2 linked regions of the Xenopus tropicalis genome follow. The protein of the gene in region 2 interacts with the protein of the main gene of each other region in a pairwise test. Links are inferred from orthologs where the notes say so. Each region holds a gene or a part of one and is shown on either strand. Other genes may lie near its edges.

What was found.
Region 1: the proteins of ddx17 (region 2) and rbm15 interact in binary tests that used the Homo sapiens proteins (3 or more experiments, as listed by UniProt). The link is inferred for Xenopus tropicalis from reciprocal best matches to the Homo sapiens genes DDX17 and RBM15.

The regions. Positions count from the first base shown.
Region 1 is NC_030678.2:72,275,394-72,279,316, reverse strand, and holds the start of rbm15 (RNA-binding protein 15), read right to left. Parts: upstream 2,731-3,923; 5' UTR 2,639-2,730; coding exon 128-2,638; 3' UTR 94-127; intron 1-93. UniProt on the Homo sapiens protein: RNA-binding protein that acts as a key regulator of N6-methyladenosine (m6A) methylation of RNAs, thereby regulating different processes, such as hematopoietic cell homeostasis, alternative splicing of mRNAs and X chromosome inactivation mediated by Xist RNA.
Region 2 is NC_030680.2:120,510,679-120,514,601, reverse strand, and holds the start of ddx17 (probable ATP-dependent RNA helicase DDX17), read right to left. Parts: upstream 2,646-3,923; 5' UTR 2,504-2,645; coding exon 2,469-2,503; intron 76-2,468; coding exon 1-75. UniProt on the Homo sapiens protein: As an RNA helicase, unwinds RNA and alters RNA structures through ATP binding and hydrolysis.

The sequences.
Region 1 (3,923 bases), on a different chromosome or scaffold from region 2:
TTTTGCTAAGCAGATCAAAAACTGCAATACAAAGACTGAACTTGCGATTACAAAAAAAAAAAAAACTAAAAGTTATACTGTATCCCATAATACCTTGTGAATAGTAGACAGAAATACAAACATGGACCTAGGATGCCCCACGAACTATAATCATTATAAGGTAGTCATCATCAGACTTCACAAGGGCTTTTGCTTCAGCATCAAGAAACTGCTGGGAAAAATTACAGGGAGGAAAAGCATGAAGAACTCCTGCATGATCTTTGTCTTTATTGCTCCCAACGGGCAGGCTGATAACACCTGCGGCTTGTTTTTGTTTTAAGTAGGACACCAGGTTTCTTAGGGGTCGTTGTGTTGAACTGGCTTGGTCCACTGATGAACCCTCGGAAGTACCAGGAATGGCAAGTAGGATGGCATAGCCATTAGGCCCTGCCACTCTGATGCGTCGAGTAACTTCATCCAACTTTGGCTGGTCAAGTCGTAGGCGCTGTGTAATTTTTAGCTGTGCCACCTTTCCTCCTGAAGGTCCCTCAACCAGCAAGCTGGATGCAACTCCAAGATCTCCTTGCAAAAGGTGCATATTGGATGGAAAATTGCTGTTCTTAAGCAGCAGCATACCTTGCCAAGCCAGACACAGCTTGTGTGCTGCTTCTGATTTTTGTGGAGGTTTCACTTTGCTGTTGCCCTCTGGATGCTCATCCTTTTTTAAAGGGCTTTTATTTGCAGGTACACGATGCCTTCTTTCTCTTTCAACTGAGTTTTTTCTATCATGTTTGTCTTCTTGACCCCGCTCCAGGCTTCCCTTCCAATCTCTAGAAGGTGAGGAGCGGCATGCTACTCGATCAGAGTCATTGTAACGGTTGTCTCGACCTCCACTGCCTTCAGGGCTACGTTCAGGAGTGACACAGTGTCTCTTTCTAGAGCGGTCACTCTCTGGTGATCTGTCTAGGTGACGGCTATCATCCAGTCTCCTTTTCCTGGGCTGATCTCTGTTCACTTCATCTCTTTCACGGTCTCTGTCTAAAGCCCAATTATCTGCACGTCGTTCTATTGTTTCAAGAGATTCACTAGTGACTCTGTGTCTGTCTCTGGCAGGAGGTGACACCCAATCATTGTTTGTATAAGCATCTCTTTCCCTGTCCCTGAATATTAAAGGTGGTGAACGATCTCTGGCTCTGCTGGCTTCACTAGTCCGATGTCCTGGTGTCTCCTCTCCAAAATCAATATAAGGGATGGGTAATGGCTGAACATAAGGATGTGGAAAACGAACATCTGCTTCTGCAAAATCCACACGAAGTCTTCTATGGTCACCCCCCATAGGGAAGCCTCTCATCTGGGTACAGGCAGCTTGGGCAGCATCCAGACTTTCATATTGTATATACGCCCAGTTTTCCCCCTTGCGGTAATCAATTTGACGGATGGTGCCAAATCTATCAAATTCCCGGGCCAATGCAGTTACTGGTACCCAAGGTCCCAGACCCCCCACCCAAAGGCGGTTTGTTGGTACTACTTTCCCATAGCCGATCTTTAAAGCATGACTACGAAGCATCTTGCCGGACATTGCAACCTTTGCCCTGTGAGCCATGTCAAGGTTTTCAAACTTTATGAAACCATAGGTCGTTTGCTGCCCACGACCAGCTCGTTTTATATCTACTTCTGTAATAGTTCCAAAACGTCCAAAGACCCTATAAATTTCACTCTCCTTGACAACGACATCCAGATTTCCAACAAAGAGTGTACGATTAGCTCTGGCATCAATCTCTAAAGCAAGGTCTTCGTCTCTAAAGTTCAGTCGGGGATCTACTGTGTAGGTAGACCTTAGCCGGCTATCATAAAGGCTGTATTCCCGTTCCCTGTCCAGCTCCCTGGGTAGAGCTGCCGGAGCCGGTGGGAGGCGCCCCAGAGCCAGCTGCTGCAGCCTATAGTCTCTGTAGCCCAGGCCGCCGGGGGAGAGTGCGCGCTGGCCGTGAGGGTGCCTGTGTGTGGCTAGTGTGGAAACAGCGGCGGCGAGTCCGCCATACGAGTCTTTCTCCCCAGGGCTGCGGCTGCGCCTCCGGTTAGTACCGCCGACATTCAAATAAACAGCCTCAATCTTGAGGGGTCTGTCGTAAAGGACAAGCCTCCCGCGGGCGTGCTTAGCGGCTCGGGCATCCAGGGCGCGCCTGAAATTCACTAAGGCCACACGCTCGTCCCCCTCGCGAGAGATTTTCACACTTACGTCTCCGAATTTTTTGAATTCATGGAAAAGTCCATCCTCTATTGCCTCGTCACTTAGCGAGGAGCCCAGCTCGCTTATCCGCAAGGATTTGTAGTATTCTGGCTCTGCACGGCTCTCTGTAGCCCGGCCGCCGCCGCCTCGGCTCTCAGCGCCACCTTTACTGCTGCTACTGCCACTGCTTGCCCCGGGGGAGCCGTAGCGATGCAAGCCCTGGGCTCTGCTCGATTGATCATAGTCGCGGCTCGAGGAAATAGCCTTTTCCACATGCAGGCTCCGGCGGCCTGTGCTGCTTTCAGATGTCTTTCCCGATGATCCGTTACTGCCTCCACCGGAGCTCAGTTTTTTTCCGCTTCTCTCGCGAGTTGATTCCTCCGCCCCCCGGGACCGTTTGGCCTTGGCCGGGGAGCGCTCTTTTCCCTTCATGGCGAGTTACGGGATGATAGTGTCTTCACACACAACTACACTCCGCCATTTTGCAGCGGTTTCGCCTAATTGACCGCCCTGAATAGCGATTGGGTACTTTCTGGCTTTCTTAAAATTCTATTGGATAGCTCTGCAGTCATTCTTACAAGATCGCATAGGATGGGGTGGTCTTTGGGCACGTCACTTCCGCTATTTCTCTGCGTTTCCCACGGGGCGTTATGGGTTGGCTAATGGCTACGTTGCAGGTTTATTAAAGCTTCGATCCATCCTTTCACGCGTGAAATCTTTTGTGCTACAATGGTTTCTAAGGTTTCATTTGTTTCATATCAATTTTACTTTTGTAAAATTTCAGTGAAATGTAAAGAGGAACGTTGGAAAGAGACAACATTGGCATATCAGATGCAAAGCGTTTTAAACAACCCAGTAGAATCGATTCTATATACTTTTGCAGGTTACTAGGCTGCTGGATAGGAGGTGCATAATTGTTCAAGTGATTTTAAGCCGAGAACGTCGTTTCAGTTAAAAGTAGATTTTTTTTTTACACATTATTAGTGGTGTAATTAGTTGTTACTGGTCCCCACAACAAATTCATTTTAGAACTATTAAACATATGCTAAATTGGGTAATTAAAATTGTTTTTTTGTAAGGACCATTCTAGGCCCTTTGAATCTCTAGTCTGTTTCCCTTTGTAGTACCACCCCTACAGATTATTAATACACTATTTCATGTTTGTGTTTCACTCAAACATATCTTACTGGTATTTCCTTTGCTGTTATTGTCAAACAATCCTAATGCAGTATTGTTACTATACAGGGATATATAGATTGTAGACCTTTGGTAACCTCTTTAACATTTTAACACAATGTTCTATAAGGTACATTTATTAATACCGTGTTATGTGCAAAGTGCAATTTTCAAAACAAATTTTCCAGCGTACTTTATTCTAGAATTCAAGCCTTGCAGATACTTTTATGTGATTGTACACAAAATGTTTTGGGCATTGATCCCTTTATTAAATGTGAACAGTGGCAATGTGTTCAGAATGTAGGAGAATATAGCTCCAGATCCCAATAACCTATTTAAACCATGAACCTCGTAAAAAGGTTATTTCCCAGATTTTTTTTAATTTATGCCCACCAATAAGTGACTCATTAGGTGAGGCACTGAACACAATATTACAAAGCGAGGCAAAATAGATAACAAAAACTATCAAGTACAGGTATCGGACCCCTTATTCAGAAACCCATTATCCAGAAAGTTCAGAATTAAGGGAATGCCAAAAATG
Region 2 (3,923 bases):
CTCAGATCCCAGCGTTTCTTCCGGAGACGCTCCCCGGGGTTTCCAAATTTTGGAAAGCGTGACATACCAGCACCACTAGTCATCCAAAAAATAAAAACAAAGTATATCAGGAGACTTTTTTAGCACTTTTTGAATATTATAACCTAAAGCTATTCATTACATCATATAAAAAATGTATACATCCCCAGTTGGAAACAAAAAAGCTGATGCTTAGTGAACAATCCCAAGGGGCTGACTGCTGTTAGGGCTCTGACACATGGGGAGATTACCGTATATACTCGAGTATAAGCCGATCCGAGTATAAGCCGATCCGAGTATAAGCCGAGGTACCTAGTTTTACCTAAGAAAACTGGAAAAACGTATTGACTCGAGTATAAGCCTAGGGTGGGAAATGCAGCAGCTACTGCTAAGTTTCAATAATCAAAATAAATACCAATAAAATTACATTAATGGAGGCATCAGTGGGGTATGTTTTTAAATATTTATTTAAAAGAAATACAGTAAACTAGCTCAATCAGCAACCAAGCTAAAACACAAAGAGTTAAAATCCTTCAAAACTATGTATAGTTTATATAGAATATAAATTGCAATGTCTAGTGCAGAATAGGACAGGTAAGGATGATAGATGAAGATGAATTTGGGACGGGCCAGGGCACTGGAGGGTCTGGTTGCGGGGGGGGCCTAATTTGCACACAAAGGACAGAGGGTGCTGGTCTGGAGGGACCCATGGCAACCGACTCGAGTATAAGCCGAGGGTGACCTTTTTCAGCACATTTTGGGTGCTGAAAAACTAGGCTTATACTCGAGTATATACAGTATTTGCCGAGCGACACATCTTCCTTATCACGGGCGACTTATCTCCCCAAAATGCCATCCCACCAGCAAGAATGTAAATCGCCGGTGGGGTGGCATACGTGGCGCTGTGATTTGCCGAAGTTTCTCTCAAGGAAACTTTGGCAAATCGCAGTGCCACATATGCCATCTCACAGGCGATTTAGGCTGATGCCACACGTGGCGTTTTTTCTCAGCCTCAAAACGCCGCACAAGCCACACAGCCCCTGACTATGGCGTTTTTCAGCTTAGTACTGGAGACGTAGCAAATCCCGTTTCCATGGTGCTAATAGTGTGAAATAGTAAAAAACGCCGTGTATTTCCACTAGGTCTGGCAGCTGTCTTTGTGTATAAATAGGAATAGCTTGCTGTGCAAATACTGGCGTATTTTGGCAAATGCTTGAAAAATCCATGCTAAGGCGTTTTCTAGTGTATTCCCGCATTGTGTGGTTTGCTTCGAGTCTTTTTAAGTTAATTCTATGGATGATGATATCGGGCGTTTTTCAGCCGCCGAGAGAAAAAACGCCTTGTGTGGCATCAGCCTTACCTTCTAGCCAGTGGGATGGCATTTCAGGGAGATTACTCGCCTGTGACATGGAGTATTTGTCGCATAGTGACTTATCTCCCCGTGTGTCACAGCCTTTAGAGTGTAGTGCAGGGGTCCCCAACCTTTTTAGCTGTGAGCAACATATAATTATTAAACAGTTGGGAAGCAACTCAATCATGAAAAAAAGTTCCTAGGGGTGACCAATAGGGTTGTGGTTGGTTATTTGGTAGCCCATAGGGTTGTGATTGGTTATTTGGTAGCCCAATGTGGACAAGCAGCCTACAGAAGGCTCTCTGTAGCAGTTCACATGGCCTTTATGCCTCCAAAACTTCAACTTCAAGTCAGAAATGCAAAAATGGGCACCTGCTTTGAGGCCACTGGTGTAGTGGAAAGGAAGGGGGGTCAGCAAGGACAGAAACATTAATTGATATAATGAAAAACAAGACAGTATCCAAAGTGAATGGATAATAAGCACCTAGAAATACATTCCTACTAATTATGCACAGACAAAAAATATATCTGCCCATGGGTTTGTGCTGAAGGTGCAGGTTACTGGTGGGGGCCCTGCAAAACTGTGTGTGAGGTGGGATCATTTCCCTATTCTCAGGGTTTATTATTGCCCCCAATTAATATATGTCCTGTATAGAGAACTGGGAATTAAACTTTATTTATACACGTTGCACAGGGGGCAGGAGGAATGCAAGTCTATGTACTCTATAAATAACTAAATGGCGCTCAGCTCACGGCTACCCTTGAAATAAAACAGAGGCTTTTACACGTAATGGCGGACACAGCACTGCAAGGAATGGGTGGGAAAACTGCGCTTCAACTCCTGGCGAATTCCAGCTCCCACCAACCGTGAGAGGCAGCTGTCGCACCTATGTGCCTTTGTGTCGCTCCGCTCCGGCGCAGATCGCAAAAACAACGCTATACTGCGTCAACAAACCCGATACCTCTTGAGAACAGTGCGCATTTTCAGCCAATGCTTCGGAGCTTGATGTGCTTATCAAACCTTATATTATTTATGCAGTGCTCAATGCCTCGCCGTCCTAAATGTGCAGCTAAATGCCCGTATCAAAACAACGCTCACCCGCCTCGGTCGCGATCCATAAAACTTCCCCTCATTTTGAAATCTGCTCGTATAACCAAAGAGACACTGGGACACCGTTCAACCTTCTAAACCCTGGGCGTTGCAACGCTGCTTAAACAGTATCCAAAGGCAGGGTTCCTTAGTGAAAGTTAACAGCTGATGTGCTCTAAAACTGAGCAACACGCAAAATGGCGTCCGAGTTCTTTTCCGCTCTCTTAAGATTTCTTGAAATGGAGACTTTACGCAATACGGGCGCAAGGACCGCCTGTATAAATGGCCTTTTCACTACCACTTGCGTACAGATAATAGAGAATAGCGACCAGCCTCCTGTGACGCATCTCACCCTGTTGTTTTGGAAAATGGTGTGATGGCAAGGCGTGACATCTCAACTGGCCAATCAGAGGAATAGAAGGCGTGGCTGCTTTGGAGACCTGCTTTTTGAGACGGGAAGCGATGTTTATTGTTGGTGTTACCTGTTATCGACTTGCAGTTTCTAGACAAGCAAGTGAATAATGCTGGGCGTCTGGAAACGTAGACCCTCATTGACTAATAAAACAAAGCTATGCCCCGTTTGAGTGTATATTAGGTTCTTCCATTTGCAATTTTTGCAAATAATTGGACTAAAGCGTCAGAAAATGTTTTCGTGTCTTGAGAACAGTGTGTTTAGTATGCGTTATAGTAAGTAGTAGTTTTGAACAGGGAAGTTTATTTTTTATTTATTGGTCTATACATATAAAGTGTTGAAATATCTCCAAGGTGCTTAATAAATATTTATGTATGAGGCCCAGCCCCAGCAGAGTTAACTATCTAAGGTACCTATCACATTCACACACACTGTGCTCAGTTTATTCAGAAGCCAGTTAAGTGCCTGTATGTGTTTGGAGGATGGGGTAAGTGGGGGTACAGAAGAACTAATGCAAGAATTTCATGCAGGAAGCACCCTGTCCGGGACTGAACTCAGGACCCCAGCACTGCATGGCAGAGGCGCAACCCCTTGGTGTTGCCAAATAAAATTGTTATTGCCCTTCTTCTTCTCATAAGGACAAATCTGTAATACTTTATGACTAAGATACTAATGAAAATTGGATGCCATAGGGCTTATTTTGAATATCATTCTAAATCTGCTAAATAGTGGGAGAAACCGGCAAATCTGTTTCATAAATTCCCAGTCTCTCTCTGCCAGCCAGGCAGCTTTCCCCACTTATGGCTCTGGCACACGGGGAGATTAATCGCCCGCGGCAAAACTCCCTGTTCGCGGGCGACTAATCTCCCCGAGTTGCCTTCACAACTTACATTGTCGCTGGTGGGATGGCAGGTGAAGGCAACTCGGGGAGATTAGTCGCCCGCGAACAGGGAGTTTTGTCGCGGGCGACTAATCTCCCCGTGTGCCAGAGCCCTTACTGAGCAACCCAATGTAGTTCATATGGGAGGCACAGACAATGGGGCACATTTACT